Arabidopsis thaliana: one gene and its partners. The protein of the gene in region 1 purifies or fractionates together with the protein of each later gene. This does not show direct contact. Each region holds a gene or a part of one and is shown on either strand. Other genes may lie near its edges. The genes, in order: AT1G07170, AT3G23325 and AT4G14342.

Region 1 (5,555 bases):
GCATGCACTATAATCTTTCTTTGATCTTTGAATTATTTCAAAATACAGAAACCTTTCTTCCATTAATTCCAAAAGAAAAAAAATGCCGCCGCAACTAAATTATATATGTACTTTGTTTGTTGTTTCTCTGGCCAAGCTTTGACCTTCCGCGAACGTGAAGTGCTATTTGAACGGTCCACCACTGCTTCCATATCCTCTTAGGGCAACTAATTTCACCTTTTATATATGTGTGGGTGAATAAATTACTAGAAATGTCCAAAACATAAGATATTATTTGAAGATTTTTAGGACCCATACCATATTTTCCAATTTGCATGTCTAGGAGAATCCACTTGGAAAACAACTTAAGAAAATGACATTGCACTATGTACTTAATACCGTACTAAACTTTCAGACTTTTCAATATTTTATAGGATTAAGGTAATGGCTAAGAGCCTAAGATATTTATGAACTAACGTAGTTAAGAAATACGCGTCCATATAAACGTAAAAGTAAAAAACTTTCAAAACATGAATTTTATGAACTCTTGAAACAAACCAGTACTAGCCTACACATTTAAGTCGATCCACATTATCTCATAAAAGAGTAGTAATATATAATGTATTGAGTGGTAAAGTACTCACATACAACTTACAAGCCTTAACGAGTTTTTACATAGAAGACCTATAAGGCTATAAGGATTATCAATAGAGAGTAAAGACAGTCTAAGATGGTATACACAAGTATCATAACAGCTCAAATGACTAAATGAAGTTAAAAACGAATAAAAGAATATGTGAATCATTCACAGTGAATGCTTAGAAAACAATAAAAAATAAAATGTAAGAAATTAAGAATGACTTCAGACTCTAACGTTGTTATTCTGTCTCTACATTTCTCCTATGGTCAGAAGAGGTGGCACAACTGAATCAACATCACACTAATATCGTCCAAGGAGCCTCGTGATACAGAGAGGTCAACGAGCTTCTTGCAAGCCAGCAATGGCTTCCGTTTCTGATCGGTCCCTTTGCAAAATGGTCGAGCTATGTCTACTGCCTCCTGATTACTAACCTTGTCCCATAGACCATCTGATGCTAAGATCAAGAACTCGTGTTGGGGATTGATTCGGAGAATATTTATCTCTGGTTCAGATATTATCCATTGTTTGAGATGAGCATCTCCTATTCCTCTAGATACCGCTAATGATCCTTGAATTCTCCAAACACTATTGAATGTATCCACATAACCGCCCTGCAGGATTATCGTAATCAGAACCATGTAATCATGATAAAACCTAACAGTAACTTCTTTTGCAAGAATTCTTACCGAGCTCTCAATTCTGTTTCGTTCATCATCTCTGGAAGGGCGGTGGTCAGAAGTCAAGGCCTCCGCGAATCCTCCAACGCTCAAAACAGCACGGCAGTCACCAGCATTGGCCACCACAAGATTTCCGTCGCTGATCAGAGCCGTGACACAGCACGAGCCGCCCTTAACGTTTTTTTCCTTGAGAAACTCAGAATCAGTCGCTAGATAACCACGTTTTACAGCTTCTTCAATCTTTGACTCGTTCCTCCCACCAACTATCTCGCCAAGAATGTTACTACACAAGTTCTTAGCCGCAAACTCAGCCGCTGTTGGTCCTCCGTGACCATCATAGACTCCGAATATTGCCTGCGGTTATAAAAAAGCTAAAAATGTTAAATCCCCATTTTGTAAGTCACTGGATCTATCTTTTTTTTTTTTCTTGAACACTAGTCATTGGTTCTATCTAATCAAGAACTACTCATACAATTTGTCATATATATGATTCACTGAATTTTCTTATAATCTTTAGAACTTCTAATTTGATTCATTGAGTCAACAACACAGCATAAATAAATTTTAAGTTATATATTACCCATCTTCAAATCGCAATTCATACTAATTAAGCAATAATCAGTAAATAAACTCGAAATTACGGAAGAAAATTGAAATTACCTGTTTGGGATCTCCTTGAAGATTAGTGATGGCAGAGAAACGATCCTCCATAGCTTCTCTTTTACCTCTCTTGCAATAAACAGAGTAACCATCACCTTCCCTCTCCACTGCTCTACTCTCCTCCCTCGGCGTATCTGCATTCGATATAGGAGCTGCAATACCAACCGGAGCCACCGGTATATCAAGCGTCGTCGGTCGTTTCCTCTTCAGAATGCTTCCCGGACCAGAGTCCGATCCAAACCCTAGTTTAGCCGGCGGTTTCAGGAGACGGAGGCAGAACGGAGATGTGGGAGACGCGGCGGAAGGAGAAGTAGAAGAAACGGGAGGATTGAGATGGGAAAGAGACAGGGTTAGGGTTTCATGTGCCGGAGAAGTGTTCAACGGTTTGTTGCAGAAAAGAGACGAAGACGGAGAGAACACCGGTGAGTTGCAAACGGCAACTGAAGACGACATCGTTTCGTAGAAAACTTAAAAGTTTCCTTTTTCTGATGATTGATTTGATTGTTAGTCTTCTAGACGTTTGTGTTTCTCTGTTTAGTGTCAACGAGAGAGAAGAAAGAGGCTTGAATATATAATATAAGACCTGGACAAGTCTTTCTCTGTTTCTCTGTGGCCGTTGCTTCTTCTTCTTCTTCCAGGTCAAACGTTACCACTCTCATCTTTCTCTTTGACTTTTTCAAATCATGAATCCACCGCCACAGTCCATTTTTTCTGCTTTTTCTTTGTCAACTGCGATTTTCCAGAAATTAAATGACTTTGGGAAGATAAAAAGTCAAATAAGGCCGAAATAGGAAAGAAATCAACACCTAAAATTAAAAAGCCCATCAGGAAAGCCTTTAATGAGATAGCCCATATTAAGTCGGACCTACATGGATCTTTAGAAACCCGACCCGGGTCGTTTTATTTGCAGAGCCATCTCTTGTTCGGATCGGCGGCTCGGAGATCAGGGATCGCTAGTTCAGACACCTTCTCTTCTTCTTCGTTCTCCTTCGAGGTTAGTTTCGATAATATTTTCCTTTGTTGTTTTTTAACTTTGATTTATGCGTGATAGATGTTACTGATTCAGAAATTTCGTTCCGTGTTCATGTTTCTCTGAATTCTTAGGGTTTAGCGTTGTCTATGCTTATTCTTTTGCGCCGCTCCGTTTTGGGCTCGAACAGCTTTCTCTTGTTTATCTGTGTTCGATTCAGCGAATTGATGGTTTCCATTGTTGCTTCGTTTCTTGTTCACTTTTCAGTGAACTTCAAGAATTTACCGTCGTTCCATTGATTTAGCTAGAATTGGATATAGAAAAGTTTCAGCTTGAGTGGAACTGTAAGTAGAATAACTGCTGCCTGATAGGTGTTTGTTGAAATGCCTCTGAGAAACAAAAATTGTGTTTTCTTTACTTTGTTAACCAATGTTATTTGCAGGTCAAAATCTTCTTAATCGAGGAAGAGCAAGATCTTCTTTAAGCAGTCATGGCCAAGCATCATCCTGATTTGATCATGTGCCGGAAACAACCTGGCATTGCTATTGGGCGACTGTGCGAGAAGTGTGATGGAAAATGCGTCATATGTGATTCCTATGTCCGCCCGTGTACTCTGGTTAGGATTTGCGATGAATGCAACTATGGTTCGTTCCAAGGGCGGTGTGTCATATGCGGAGGAGTTGGAATCTCGGATGCTTACTACTGCAAAGAGTGTACACAACAGGAGAAAGATAGAGATGGTTGTCCTAAGATAGTCAATCTTGGCAGTGCCAAAACTGATCTGTTCTATGAACGTAAGAAATATGGATTCAAAAAACGATAGTAGTTTGTTGTTACTTGAGCTATTGATCTTTTATTTATTGATGCTAGGAAAGTGTCTGTACTTGTCTTGTTTGTGTTAAGGAAATTTTATCCGGTGAAGTAATTTAAGACATGGGTTCAAACTAAGGATTATGGTTTGTTGATTTAGTCAGCCTTATTACCATTGCTATGGTTGGTTACTGTTTCTTAAGTGGTTGTCAATTATGTGATTGTTAGCGTTTGGTTGTCCATAAATATGATTCAGTTGGTGGATTAGGCCTCGGAAGTTTTCTGGAGAAACACCGTCCCTCTGTGTTTGCCAATGAATTATCTGACTCACAAAATTAACGTAATCTTGTGTATAAATCAACTTCATTCTTTTAAGTTTTAACAGCATTACCACTTGTGAATTCAGCTATGATTGAATACATAGCTGGGCGATAACTATAATTTTCTAGATAAATGTCAACTTAAAACTTTAAAGAATACGCAATAACTCTGACTCTCTAACGTCGACAAAAAGGTTATCATCCATTACATAAAAAACCCCACATGATCGTCAGAATTCAGAAATATTCGTTTTCAAAGTAAGGAAACCCCAAAATCCCTTTTTTGGGCCAAAAATATAGACGTTGACTTTTTATATCGGACGGTGCCTGTAAGTCAACTGCCCATGCATGTTCGCTTCGTTTATGTGTTAACTGTTAACTTAACAGTGTGGAATCCACAATTTGTCTGCAATAGTCAACTCCTATCTCCAATAAGACAATGACACGTGTTAAACATCAGCTACTTTATTTCGAAACAGATCCTGTATTTCTAGCCGAATTAATTCAATCATAATCTAAATAATTGCTATTTACGAGTCAAAAAATATTTAGACGAAAATTTGATATTGTAGCTAGCCATTAAGAAAAACGTTAATTTGTAAGAAACGTTTACGCTGATGATTTATTCAGGGAAGACCACTGAAACAATGAAACACAAGATTTATATAGTGATGTAAAATGTTGTAATAGACAGACTTTTAATATCAAAATATTTCAAACCACATGCCTTTGCAGGTATCTACACCAATCTTTAATCAAAATGTTTTAAATTTTGTTGTGCCCTAATTCCTTATAAATGTATTTTGCTCGAATTTGGGTTAGACATTCAAAATGATATGTTTGTAGGAATGCTTCCATGTCAATAAATTGCACTATTCCGGTTATGTAGCACTGTCCGAAATATATATATTAAAGTAGTTTGAAAAATAAGGTTAATTAATCTTTATTATTAATGAATACATTTCCATTTCACGTTTATAAAAGGAGAGGGTTACGAGAGATATAGTTGAATAGAGAAGAGAAAGAGGAAGAGAAAAAGGGGAAAGAGAAGAGAAGATGGTTTTTTGTTATGCAATTCGGCTGTGTTTATGCATTTTCTTGGCACTTTCAATCGTCTCTTCGGCTCGACTAACTTTTTCATTTTCAGGTAAGAGAAATCGAGCTCATCATCCTATCTACATACAGAAAAGATCAAATTTTGGAGTTGTATATAAACTCCTCATTCGAATTTTGAAATCCATAATAGTATATCGTTGGATTAATTACTTTCGTAATTATCTAAGTTTTAGCTTCGTAATATATGTTAAACCTGCATGCATGACAGAAAACGAAAAGATGATGGTGAGGGGTAGATCATTGATGGTGAGCACCAACGACTACGGCGAGCCATCGGCCAACGCCAAACACAATCCACCTGGAAGGCGTCGTGGAGGAGGTCGGAGAGGGTAAATAAATAAAAAGATAAAAATAAAAAAATATGGTTTTGGATACATTTAAGA
Region 2 (5,417 bases), on another chromosome or scaffold:
ATTTGACTTGTAAGTAAACATATTCCATGTTTGCTCTGTTGTAATTTGTGATTGTGTTTACTGTTGCAGCTGAGCTGAAGAAGAAGAGCACAAAGCCAAAGCGGCCATCAATTAAATCCCTCTTTGGTACTTATCTAAAAGACATTTATCACAATCTATTTCAACTCATTGTCTGATATTAGCATATGGTTTTAGCACTAACAAGAATTGTTATAAAAACATTTGGCAGAGGATGAATCAGCCAGTAGCACCACAAGCCACCAAGGAAGCTTTATGAAACTCTTGCCAACACAAATCGAAGTTCCAGAGAAAGAAGACAAATCAAGCTCATCTAGTGAAACCCTATCATCTTCCACCACACGTTTCGACAATGCCACATCCTAAACCAGACTCTTTGCTACACTTTGGTCCCGGTTAACACACCAAAACACGGTTTGAGGTGGCGGATTTACGGTTGGAGATAGTACAGTTTCCATTGTGGCGGTGAAGGCTATTGTGTGAGAAGATTAAGGATTTGTTCAACAGTTTCTACATAGGATAATATTTGGTTGTTCAAAAGGTTTAGTTTGAAGCAAAAGGAAGTAAATAGTCATTTTCAGAATGTGGTTTTATTTATTTGTTTGATTGTTTTGTTTGGGTAAAAATCAAATTTGGTTTGTTTACCACACAGTTCTAAAGCGGACAATGGGAAAAATGTCAAAAAAATCATGAACTTTCAAATTTGGGACGAAAAAAACATGAACTTCCAAAATGCCATTAAAATCGTAAACTTTTGTTTGACTTTTGATAAATAGTCAAGTTTTGTTGACTTTGCCATTTTGAACATGTCGTTAAGTTTTCGTTAACAAAAAGATAACGTGATTAATTTTCTGTTAATTTTTTCTGTTAAAAGCGAAACGACGTCGTTTTGAAATTAAAGAAAAAAACAAAAAACAAACACCAAGTAGAGTTGAACTGGTGACCTTTTAGGTGCTATTGAAGGACTAAAACCATTGAGCCACGTTAACTTTTTAGAAGTATAGTAAACATATACATATATATATATATATACGTAACTAATTAAAAATAACCAACTAAAATAAATCAATAATATAGAAAATTACCTAAAATTTACACAATCCTTCTCATATGAATATAGGATTAATCTATACATGCACATAGAATTTCATTCAACTTCACTTTATATATAATTTTATTTATAATAAAACATATATTTTATAAATTAATTTGATAAATATTTAATAAAAGAAAAATATAAGATCATTATTCCGTCTTCAAATCAATTTTTTTATTCATAATTAGATGGAAAGTATATAAAAAGTTATTTTTTGGTAATATATTTATAGGTGTTATATTTCACAAGTTTGATTTTTATATAATTTAAGAGAATTTTTTTTTAATTCAATACGTTTAATAAAAAAATTTACATTGTTATTTGAGAATATATATTAATGGTAGGTGTATTTAATATTTTTACATGTTTAGTTATTGTTTTTATAGTTCGGTTTTTATTTGGTAGGTGCATTTTTATAATTTACATCATTTTTAATATTTTTATTTGCCATTTTGGTTAATATGGAGGATTTGGAAGAGCCGGAATGATTTAGTCTTCAACAAAAAAGCAATCGCTGTCGCTGATGTGATAAACCAAGCGATAATGGACACGAAAGAATGGCTGGATGTTAAGCATAAAAATGATGACAACGTCAAAGGGGGCCAAACCAAGTCCTCAAGAACGGACAAATGGCAAAAACCAGGAGCAGAATGGGTCAAATGCAATTATGATGTCTCTAACCATGCGGGAAGACAAGACTCAGGCCTCAGATGGATTATTCGAAACTCACAAGGAACCTGTTTGGACTGCGGCTGCGGGAAATTTCAGGGTCGACAAACAATAAAGGAAGCTGAATGCACTGCCCTCATATGGGCAATACAATGCGCTTGGGATTTGGGATATAGGAGAGTAGAATTTGAAGGCGACAACATCACAGTTAATCGCCTTATTCGAAACAAAGAAACTAATCCACGACTTCGATACTATTTGGAATTCATTCAACAATGGAGCAAAGCTTTCACCACTGTGAAGTTCACATTTCGACACCGGGAACAAAACGTTTGTGTTGATGTTCTGGCGAAAAAAGCAGTAGCTAATCATATAAATCATACTCTATATCATTTTTGTCCTAGATTTCTAATGTCGTTTGTAAACAAAGATGCTGAACACGTGAATTAATAAAGTTATTGGAAGGAAAAAAAAAAAAAATAGTTCGGTTTTTAATTAGTTTTGCGTATATATATATATATCAGTTTTCATTAATATCGAAATGTTATCATAGCATATTGGTTGAGCGCTTGTGATAATTTAGGAGGTTCACGAGTTCAATCCATTCTTGGCGCAAATTTTAATATATTTTTATTTTGAAACGACGTCGTTTCGCTTCTAACGGAAAATGTTAACGAAAAGTTAACTCCGTTATTTTGTTGTTAACGGAAATTTAACGACATGCCCAAAATAGTAAAGTCAACGAAACTTAATCATTTTATCAAAAGTCAGACGAAATTTTATAATTTTAGCGGCATTTCGGAAGTTCACGTTTTTTTTATCCCAAATTTAAAAGTTAATGATTTGGTTTGATTGAAATGTCCGGTTCTGGTTTGGTTTTCTTTTGTACCGGTTCTCATAATAATAGCCACGTATTAAAAATTTATTAGTAATGGATTTGGGCCAGACCCATTCTCAAAGCCCAATCAATTTCTCAGTGAAACATATATAAACCTAATTAAAGTGAAGCAGAAGTTGTATTCTTCTTCTTGCGAACTCGCTGAAGTCTGAAAGATGCAGGTTTGTCTCTCTCGATTCGAAACCCTAGTTACTTTTTTTTGTTCTTATCTCTAATTTTATACAATTTCTTGACGATTAAGCTAAGCGTAGCTGAAATCTGGGAACAATTTGCTTTAGTTCTTGTAAAGGTTAGGTTTTTAAGCAGCAGATAGTTATGTAATCTCACTTTTTTGTTTTTGTGCAGGCAAGTGATAGGTTTAACATAAATTCTCAGCTTGAGCATCTTCAAGCTAAGTATGTTGGTACAGGTCATGCAGATTTGAGCAGATTGTAAGTATTTTTCACTTTTTGTTTGGATTTTTCAGGATTCCAAAATTGTGAACTTATTGAAAATTTTGAATGTTTTTGTGTTAGTGAATGGACTGTGAACATTCAGCGTGATAGTTATGCTTCATACATTGGTCACTACCCGATGCTTTCTTACTTTGCAATAGCTGAGAACGAATCTATTGGTCGAGAACGTTACAACTTCATGCAGGTTTGTTTACTATCTTTCTTCTTGCATCATGTCAAGGAATCATATTGAGAATGTTAATGTGTTAGTGTCTTAAGGGAGAGGAACAATTAGGGTTGTTTCAAACAGGGTAAAGTGTTCCTGCTGCTCCCCTCTTTAGCTTGGAGAAGCCAGTAAATATCTTTCTCTTCAAGGAACTTGTGGGCCTCAAGAAAACCTGCTATAATTCTAGTTTTTCAACATTCCTCCTTCTGATATCAGCAACAACTCCTTACCCTTAAGAATGGAGAATGGAACTTCCTCAAAGATATTTACTTGGCCTCTGCAACCGGAAAGGGGAGCAGCATGAAACTCTTTTAACCCTTACCCTGTATTTGTCAAAAACAGATTGTATCATATCGTAAGTTAGCAGGAAACTACCAATCTTGAGGGTTGTTTCAAACTGTTATCTTCTGGTTCTTCTACACTCAAGAGTCAATGACTTTGCATTTTTGCTAATAGCTTTTACTAACTCCAAACTTCTTTGATTTTTTTTTTGCAGAAAATGCTCTTACCTTGCGGCCTTCCTCCAGAAAGAGAAGACGAGTAAGAGCTTGTGTGCATTTGAAATTAAAAAAAACATTCTACTTCTTAGAAGCTTGTGTGCAATCTTCTTTAACTGCTCCACCAATGTAATTGCCGAAAAGGCTTCTTCTTGTTTCTAGTTCATAATGCAGTTGTTGATCATGATCTAAACATTTGTACTTTGTTATAGTCTTGATACAATTGTCAAACTCAAAGTCTTTTTGCTACTCGAACAACTATTGCAAAAGAATTGAATTGAACAAGTCATAAAAAAAAGAGGTTAAAAGTTGGAGTATTTAAATGAATGACGAAAATAAAAATCAAACCTTTATGTTTGCTAATGGTGAATCTCTGAGAAGGAGACAAAGATGAGTTCATCAAAAGCCCTAATCAAAACCCTGATTAAGAATCCAACTCGAATCAAATCCAAATCTCAAGCGAAGCAGCTTCACGCACAATTCATCAGAACTCAATCACTCTCTCATACATCAGCTTCAATCGTAATCTCAATCTACACAAACCTTAAACTTTTGCACGAAGCTTTGCTTCTTTTCAAAACCCTTAAGTCTCCTCCTGTTCTAGCATGGAAGTCAGTAATCAGATGCTTCACCGACCAGTCTCTATTCTCCAAGGCGTTAGCTTCGTTTGTGGAAATGCGAGCTTCTGGGAGATGCCCAGATCACAATGTGTTTCCTTCTGTTTTGAAATCGTGTACGATGATGATGGATTTGAGATTTGGTGAGTCTGTTCATGGGTTTATTGTTAGGCTTGGTATGGATTGTGATTTGTATACTGGTAATGCGCTTATGAATATGTATGCTAAGCTTCTTGGTATGGGTTCTAAGATTAGTGTAGGTAATGTGTTCGATGAAATGCCTCAAAGAACGTCCAATTCTGGAGACGAAGATGTAAAGGCTGAAACTTGCATTATGCCTTTTGGAATAGACAGTGTGAGGAGGGTTTTTGAAGTGATGCCTAGAAAGGATGTTGTGTCGTATAATACTATCATTGCAGGGTATGCACAGAGTGGAATGTATGAAGATGCTTTGAGAATGGTTAGGGAGATGGGAACTACTGACTTAAAGCCTGATTCTTTTACTTTGTCTAGTGTGCTTCCGATATTTTCTGAGTATGTGGATGTTATTAAGGGGAAAGAGATTCATGGGTATGTGATTAGGAAAGGGATTGATAGTGATGTATATATTGGGAGTAGTTTGGTTGATATGTATGCGAAAAGTGCTCGGATTGAAGACTCTGAAAGAGTGTTTTCTCGCTTGTATTGTCGGGATGGTATCTCGTGGAACTCGCTTGTAGCTGGGTATGTACAGAATGGTAGATACAATGAGGCTCTGAGATTGTTCAGGCAAATGGTGACCGCAAAGGTTAAGCCAGGGGCTGTGGCGTTCTCAAGTGTGATTCCTGCTTGTGCTCACCTAGCCACCTTGCACCTTGGGAAACAACTTCACGGATATGTATTAAGGGGTGGCTTTGGCAGTAACATATTCATAGCTAGTGCACTTGTTGATATGTACTCGAAATGTGGGAATATTAAGGCTG
Region 3 (6,243 bases), on another chromosome or scaffold:
ACATTTAATTTTAGTCTTTTTGTATCTCTTTGGTAATTCTAATGTGGAAACTTACCTCTTCTCGATTCATTATCTTCCCCCTTATGCAGATAGTAAATTGGAGAAATTACTTGAAATTCCCAGATGAGGTTAGACTATCACCAGAAGCCAAGGATCTTATTTGTAGGCTTTTATGCAATGTTGAACAAAGGCTTGGAACAAAAGGAGCAGATGAAATTAAGGTGTTGTATGCGTTGTTCAACTTTGAGATTCAAAGTTCCCTTATGTAAGATCATTGTGTGCAATTCTTAAAAACGATTTGACTGGTTTCTTTCAGGGTCACCCTTGGTTTAGAGGCACAGAATGGGGAAAATTGTATCAAATGAAAGCTGCCTTTATTCCCCAAGTTAATGATGAGTTGGACACCCAAAATTTTGAGAAATTTGAAGAGGTAACACACTGATACTATCAGCTAATGATGTCTATAGTGAAATATTGGTGCAATATATGCCACCAAATGATGTGGCATGATGTATATACTGAAATATTGGTATCACAGATGATTTTTATGCTCCTGATAAGGAAAATAATGTATACTCTTCTTTGATTCCTTCTGGAACAGACTGACAAGCAAGTTCCAAAGTCAGCCAAGTCAGGTCCATGGAGAAAGGTACAGCATAAGCACTGACTTTTTGGCATTATGTACCATCAAGCTTTTTTTTTTTATCTAATAGAAGAGTGATCATACTTCAAAATTTATCTATAAGTGGGTTCCTTGAGATATGTTGTTCTTTGATGATACTACAGACGTAGCTTAAAATATTACATGCAACAAAGAGCTCAGAATGATGAAATTGGCTCAGTTTCTGTCACAGGCGTTTCTATCTTTGTACTATATTCACAAAAACGTGATTCACTCTTTTAGGTTCAAATTTTCTTATGGTAATTTAGAATTTGGAGCTGATTGGGATGCTACTAACAGAATTATGTTGTTAATCTGCCAGTTCTGCATGTTGACGTGTGTTAGATGAATCACTTATCTTTTTGGACCAACATGATATAACTTAGAACCTGTTCTGTCAATAGAATTTATGTCATGAACCAAAAGGATTCTTGTGAATTTCATAACATGACGCTGGCTTTCTTTTTTTCTTCTCCAGATGCTCTCATCCAAAGACATTAACTTTGTTGGTTATACTTACAAGAACGTAGAAATCGTAAATGATGACCAAATACCAGGGATAGGTAATTCACTTAACCCCCCTTCCGTTGCTGAGGAAGAAGCAACAATACTAGATTACCTTGTGATTATCATCGCATGTTTGCTGCATTTGTAATTTGTTTTATTGTGCAGCTGAGTTGAAGAAGAAGAGCAATAAGCCAAAAAGGCCGTCTATTAAATCTCTCTTTGGTAAATCATCTGTTTGTATGCTATTTGTAAAATCAAGATGATTACGATCCATGTTTGATTCTCTCTAACCAAACTGTGGAAACTAAATTAACAGAAGACGAAACATCTGGTGGGACAACAACCCACCAAGGAAGCTTTTTGAATCTACTACCGACGCAGATTGAAGATCCAGAGAAAGAAGGTAGTAAGTCGAGCTCATCCGGGTGAATTTCATTTGACACATTGCACAGCCTGAACCAGAAGACTCTTGTTATATTAACATGTGTGTTGTTGATTTCGTTGAAAGCCTTTTGCTTTCTCTAAACGACTGTTAAAAGTTGGAGTTAGCAGGGGTTTTTCAACAAAGTACAGTCTCTCCAGTGGAAGCGAAGGCTCTCCCAGAGGAGAAAGATGGATTTGTTTAATTGTTTTCAACATAGAAAAGTGAAAAAGTAAATATTCTTTTCGGAATTGGCTTGTTTATTTATTTTCACAGGGAGAGAAGGTGAGCTTTGGTATTTGATTTTTTTTTTTTTGGTTAATCAAAACTTGGTTGTACTACTAAACCTCAAGATGAAATCTTCACCCTCTAATGCTATAAGCAAAAGTATTTACTATTTATTAGATTAGAAAAAGCGCCAATCTGAAAAACTGTTCTCACTGAATGTGTTTAATTGAGTACACTCAAGAGTGAAACAGATGGCTTAATGGCACCTCAGATTTGGTGCTAAAAGTCTACAGTCTACACTATATGTAGGCCTTTGGAACCAATTGCGTGTGAAGACTGAAGACTAAAAAGTGCATACAAAAGAAGTAGAGAACAAATGTACCTCTATGAGTATTCGTAGGCCCTTAAGAGACCTTCTTCAAATGTCAAAATAGTATAAAAAAGAAAAAAGACTAAGTGTGGCTGCTGGGATTCGAGCCCAGGTCCCCACGGCCACAACGTGGGATTCTAACCACTAAACTACAGCCACTTTTGTTTGTATTCTGTAGATTGATAATGATTAAAGAATCCACAATTGTTAGCCAAATTCCAAGCTTCTTGCCTTAACTTCTTTATTATGTGAAACGACCACGTTTTCATTTTATGATCTACTACTTCGGGTACACCGAACGAACCGGTCGGTTATTTCGGATTTAAATATTAACCGAAAACAATTAGCAGATAAAGGACTTGAAGAAAGATAGGGTTTAGATCTTCTTCTTCTTCTTCTTCTTCTTCTTCTTCTTCTTCTTCTTCTTCTAGTTGCTGCGAAACTCTGAAAAAGATGCAGGTATGTTCTCGATCCGAAACCCTAGCTTTTGTTGGTAAATTGGAAGAAGAAATAACCTAATTAGCTTCTTCTACCTTTGATTCTCTGTCTGTTTAATTTATCTATGTCGAAGAGAATTGGCTTAGACGAAATTAGGTCGATTTGTTTCTTATAAAGCATATATAGATGAAATCGGGAACAATTTGCTTTAAATTTAACATCTTTTGGTTTGGGTTTTTTTCTTTTGCAGGCAAGTGATAGGTTTAACATCAATTCTCAGCTTGAGCATCTTCAAGCTAAATATGTTGGAACCGGTCATGCTGATTTGAGTAGATTGTGAGTTTCTTTTGATTTTAGTGTTCAAATTTTTATATGCATTGTTTTTATTGGCTACTAATTTGTGGAATTGGTTTAAATGGTACAGTGAGTGGGCTGTGAACATTCAGCGTGATAGTTATGCTTCATACATTGGTCACTACCCTATGCTTTCATACTTTGCTATTGCTGAGAACGAGTCTATTGGACGAGAACGCTACAATTTCATGCAGGTTTGCCTCCTTTCATGTCTTTTGCATATTACTTTCTCTAGTGACAAATCTACAGTTCAAGATTTGGATTATGATTCTATGTTTATTTGATTAGGTGCGTATCATATGGTTATGTAACTTATGTTGCCTTCCAGATTTATTGCTTTGTTGTATGGTTTTTAGTTTACTGTTAAATGTCGTATTTGTCTATTCGTCGTGATATTTTGATTTCTTAGACCATGGACTTCAGTTTTGACTGACTATTTCAGCAGCCTCTAGTTCTGTAGGATACAATTATATTAGAGAGCGTTGGGTCATGGTCTTACTCAACTCGGTTGGTTTCGGTTTATTCGCCTCTTGCATGGTTGAAATGTGTGATAGGTTAGAATTTCATGTAGGTTTGCTTCCTATTCTCTGTGTTAATAGGAATCTTATCAGTAAAATTCTGTACTTTCCTTTTGCCTCATCCTTTATCTAGTGACAAATCTACAGTTCAAGGTTTGGATTATGATTCTATGTGTAGTCGATTAGGAATGTATCATTTCGTGGTTATCTTGTGGTATATCTCATTCCTTTTCCTTTTCAGATTCATTGATTTGTTGTATGGTTTTAGTTTAGGTCTTGTCAATGGCGTATTTCTCTATTTGTCGTGATATGTTGATTTCCTAGACTATGGACTTCACATTTCACTGACCATTCAGCAGCCTCCAGTTGTGTAGGTTACAATTAGATTATAGAGCATTAGGTTATGGTGTGGTCTCTCACTCAAATGTTTTCATTTGTCCTCAATTCTCAAATTAATGGAAGCTTAGTTCCTTTCACAAACAGTTGTGAGCTCGCCTTGGCTTTCAGTTTTTTCATGAAACAGGTCTCTTACATGGTTGAATAATCTTGTGATAGCGATCTCTTATATCTGAATATATGGTCTTCTTGAGGGTTAATCGAAAAGCATAGAAAAATATGAATATTTGTGGGGTGTTCTTTGCTCAAAAAATTGGTTACACTTTGTAGATGTGATGATGTTTTGGAATAACTTGAGATGTCTTTTGATTTCCAGAAAATGCTATTACCCTGCGGCCTTCCTCCGGAAAGAGAAGAGGAATAGGTGACATGAGGATTCGATTTGTCTTTCAAGTTATCAAGAACTCGTGTGATGGAATGTTGGTTTGGAGTTTTAAAAACTGTCCAATTTGATCTTCTGGTAGAGATTTATATGACTGTTAAAAAACAACTTTGTCTGTGTAAGTTTGCTTTTCTTGAATGTAAAAAACAAAACACCTTGGATTTTTAGGTTGGTTTTACACGGTTTCGTGTTTTAATCAAATTCATCAAAATTTTCAATTTTTGAACTATCCAAAAACCCGAATAATCCGACATAACCGTTATTGCATGCCTAGTTTGATTTGTTAAAAGTTCCCGACATAAATTCTTACCGTGGGATGTCCAAACGACAAGAAAACAACGGGTGTGACAAATGGACAAATAAAAGCAAAAAGCTTAGGCCACTTAAACCAAAAGCCATTTCATCAAACGTATTCTAAAATCTAAACTATAAATAATGTAATATCGTCAACGATGGAAGCCTATAAACACTATAGTTGATATAATCATACGCATCTATTATAAGCTTGCTTACTTATGGATAATTTTTCTTATTCTCTTTGACTTATTTTTGCCTAGTTTCATTGACCATCATAATACTTTAACAATACCGAAAGTTTCATAAACATTATAAAACTTTAGTCATTGTATACAATCCGAAAGTTTCATAAACATTATAAAACTTTAGTCATTGTATACAATTATCAATAAGTTTTGTTTCCCATGCATGTGAAATATCACTTGACTCAAGATGAATGGTCCTAACACGTTTACCTTTAGAGACACATGTTAATTTTCATATTGAAAATGAAAGTAAAAACAAAATGCTTAATATAGCATAGAAGAACATTAGCTATCCTACTAAATTACCATATAGAAGAAACTCATGAATTTCACACTGTGTTCATGAGTTCATCGAGAAGATCTACTAACGACATGTAAACTGGTTATTAAGTATGAGCTTGATTTCTCAAGACTCATCAACAAGTGTTCCATGTATCGACGTTACCAAGCGTTCGGGAGATCCACAAGTAAATGGATGCTTTCTTTTTTAAATTGTTTGAACTTTTATAAAATCAGGTCCTTTACATGCACTTCCAGAATCTGTCCAAGCGAGAGATCATAAGATAGAACAAAGTGATAATATGATAATATTGCGCTAGTACACGATTTGTTGACAGTTTAAATCCAAAAATGTTCATCAACATATTGGTACGATTAGTAAATGAGTAAAAAAAAACTTAAATAAATCAATGTAAATTGGGTGATGTATGTAGACTTAGGTATTGCACTAACTTGATTTTATTGATTCACAAAGTATAGTATTTATACAAGAGAGACATCTTATGAGATATACTCTAATCCCTAAAATATAGGACATAACTCTATCACAAGATATATAGTGATAATCTTAATGAGATTATACTCTATCCCCAATAATGTATCAAAATATATAAACGTAAAATGAAAATTTCAGCTTGAAAAATGACAAATGTAGAACTTTTTTTTTTGGTGGTAGATTCTGTTTTTAATAAAAATATATTATAAAGTTTTGCAAACTTGTTTCGTGTTGTTGTTGATTAAGTGATGTTTATGGTTATTACGAATTAGAGTTTTGGTCGTTAGAAAACAGAGAATTTAAATGTTAAACCGTGCACGAAAACAACTAATTTTTTCTTCTAAGTAATTAAAAAAAAAACAGTATACAAAAATAAAATAAAAAGATTCAATGAATGATAAATATTTACGTTGAAGTTTTGTCTTTCTTTAGGTTAAATTCAATTTTCACATATTCATTTCTTTATTATTCCCTTCTTCTTCTTTCTCTTTCTCTTTTCTTCCGCAAATCTCCGCAAAATCTTCCCTCAAACTCAGATCCGATTCTTCTAATTCTTTGTCCCCCCAGAGATTCTTCTTCTTTCTCCAAGTAAAAGAAAACAACTTTCTTTCTCTTTTCTTGCGAAAGTCCTCAACTTTCACCACTAAATCA

Evidence for each region.
Region 2: the proteins of AT1G07170 (region 1) and AT3G23325 fractionate together in Arabidopsis thaliana (co-fractionation; one large-scale study listed by BioGRID). This does not show direct contact.
Region 3: the proteins of AT1G07170 (region 1) and AT4G14342 fractionate together in Arabidopsis thaliana (co-fractionation; one large-scale study listed by BioGRID). This does not show direct contact.

What each region holds. Positions count from the first base shown.
Region 1 is NC_003070.9:2,197,270-2,202,824, forward strand, and holds AT1G07170 (PHF5-like protein), read left to right. Parts: upstream 1-2,727; 5' UTR 2,728-2,950; exon of another isoform or gene 2,951-3,368; 5' UTR 3,369-3,416; coding exon 3,417-3,749; 3' UTR 3,750-4,003; downstream 4,004-5,555. Other genes in the region: AT1G07160 (Protein phosphatase 2C family protein), read right to left, coding at 886-1,230, 1,306-1,650, 1,957-2,409; AT1G07175 (alternative NAD(P)H dehydrogenase), read left to right, coding at 5,113-5,203, 5,381-5,501.
Region 2 is NC_003074.8:8,342,972-8,348,388, forward strand, and holds AT3G23325 (Splicing factor 3B subunit 5/RDS3 complex subunit 10), read left to right. Parts: upstream 1-2,798; 5' UTR 2,799-2,836; coding exon 2,837-2,842; intron 2,843-3,026; coding exon 3,027-3,112; intron 3,113-3,196; coding exon 3,197-3,320; intron 3,321-3,395; exon of another isoform or gene 3,396-3,685; intron 3,686-3,837; coding exon 3,838-3,885; 3' UTR 3,886-4,171; downstream 4,172-5,417. Other genes in the region: AT3G23310 (AGC (cAMP-dependent, cGMP-dependent and protein kinase C) kinase family protein), read left to right, coding at 70-126, 230-384; AT3G23320 (Polynucleotidyl transferase, ribonuclease H-like superfamily protein), read left to right, coding at 1,658-2,233; AT3G23330 (Tetratricopeptide repeat (TPR)-like superfamily protein), read left to right, coding at 4,229-5,417.
Region 3 is NC_003075.7:8,251,803-8,258,045, reverse strand, and holds AT4G14342 (Splicing factor 3B subunit 5/RDS3 complex subunit 10), read left to right. Parts: upstream 1-2,441; 5' UTR 2,442-2,640; coding exon 2,641-2,646; intron 2,647-2,875; coding exon 2,876-2,961; intron 2,962-3,049; coding exon 3,050-3,263; 3' UTR 3,264-3,546; intron 3,547-4,209; coding exon of another isoform or gene 4,210-4,257; 3' UTR 4,258-4,510; downstream 4,511-6,243. Other genes in the region: AT4G14350 (AGC (cAMP-dependent, cGMP-dependent and protein kinase C) kinase family protein), read left to right, coding at 90-221, 317-430, 602-649, 1,140-1,224, 1,334-1,390, 1,485-1,597.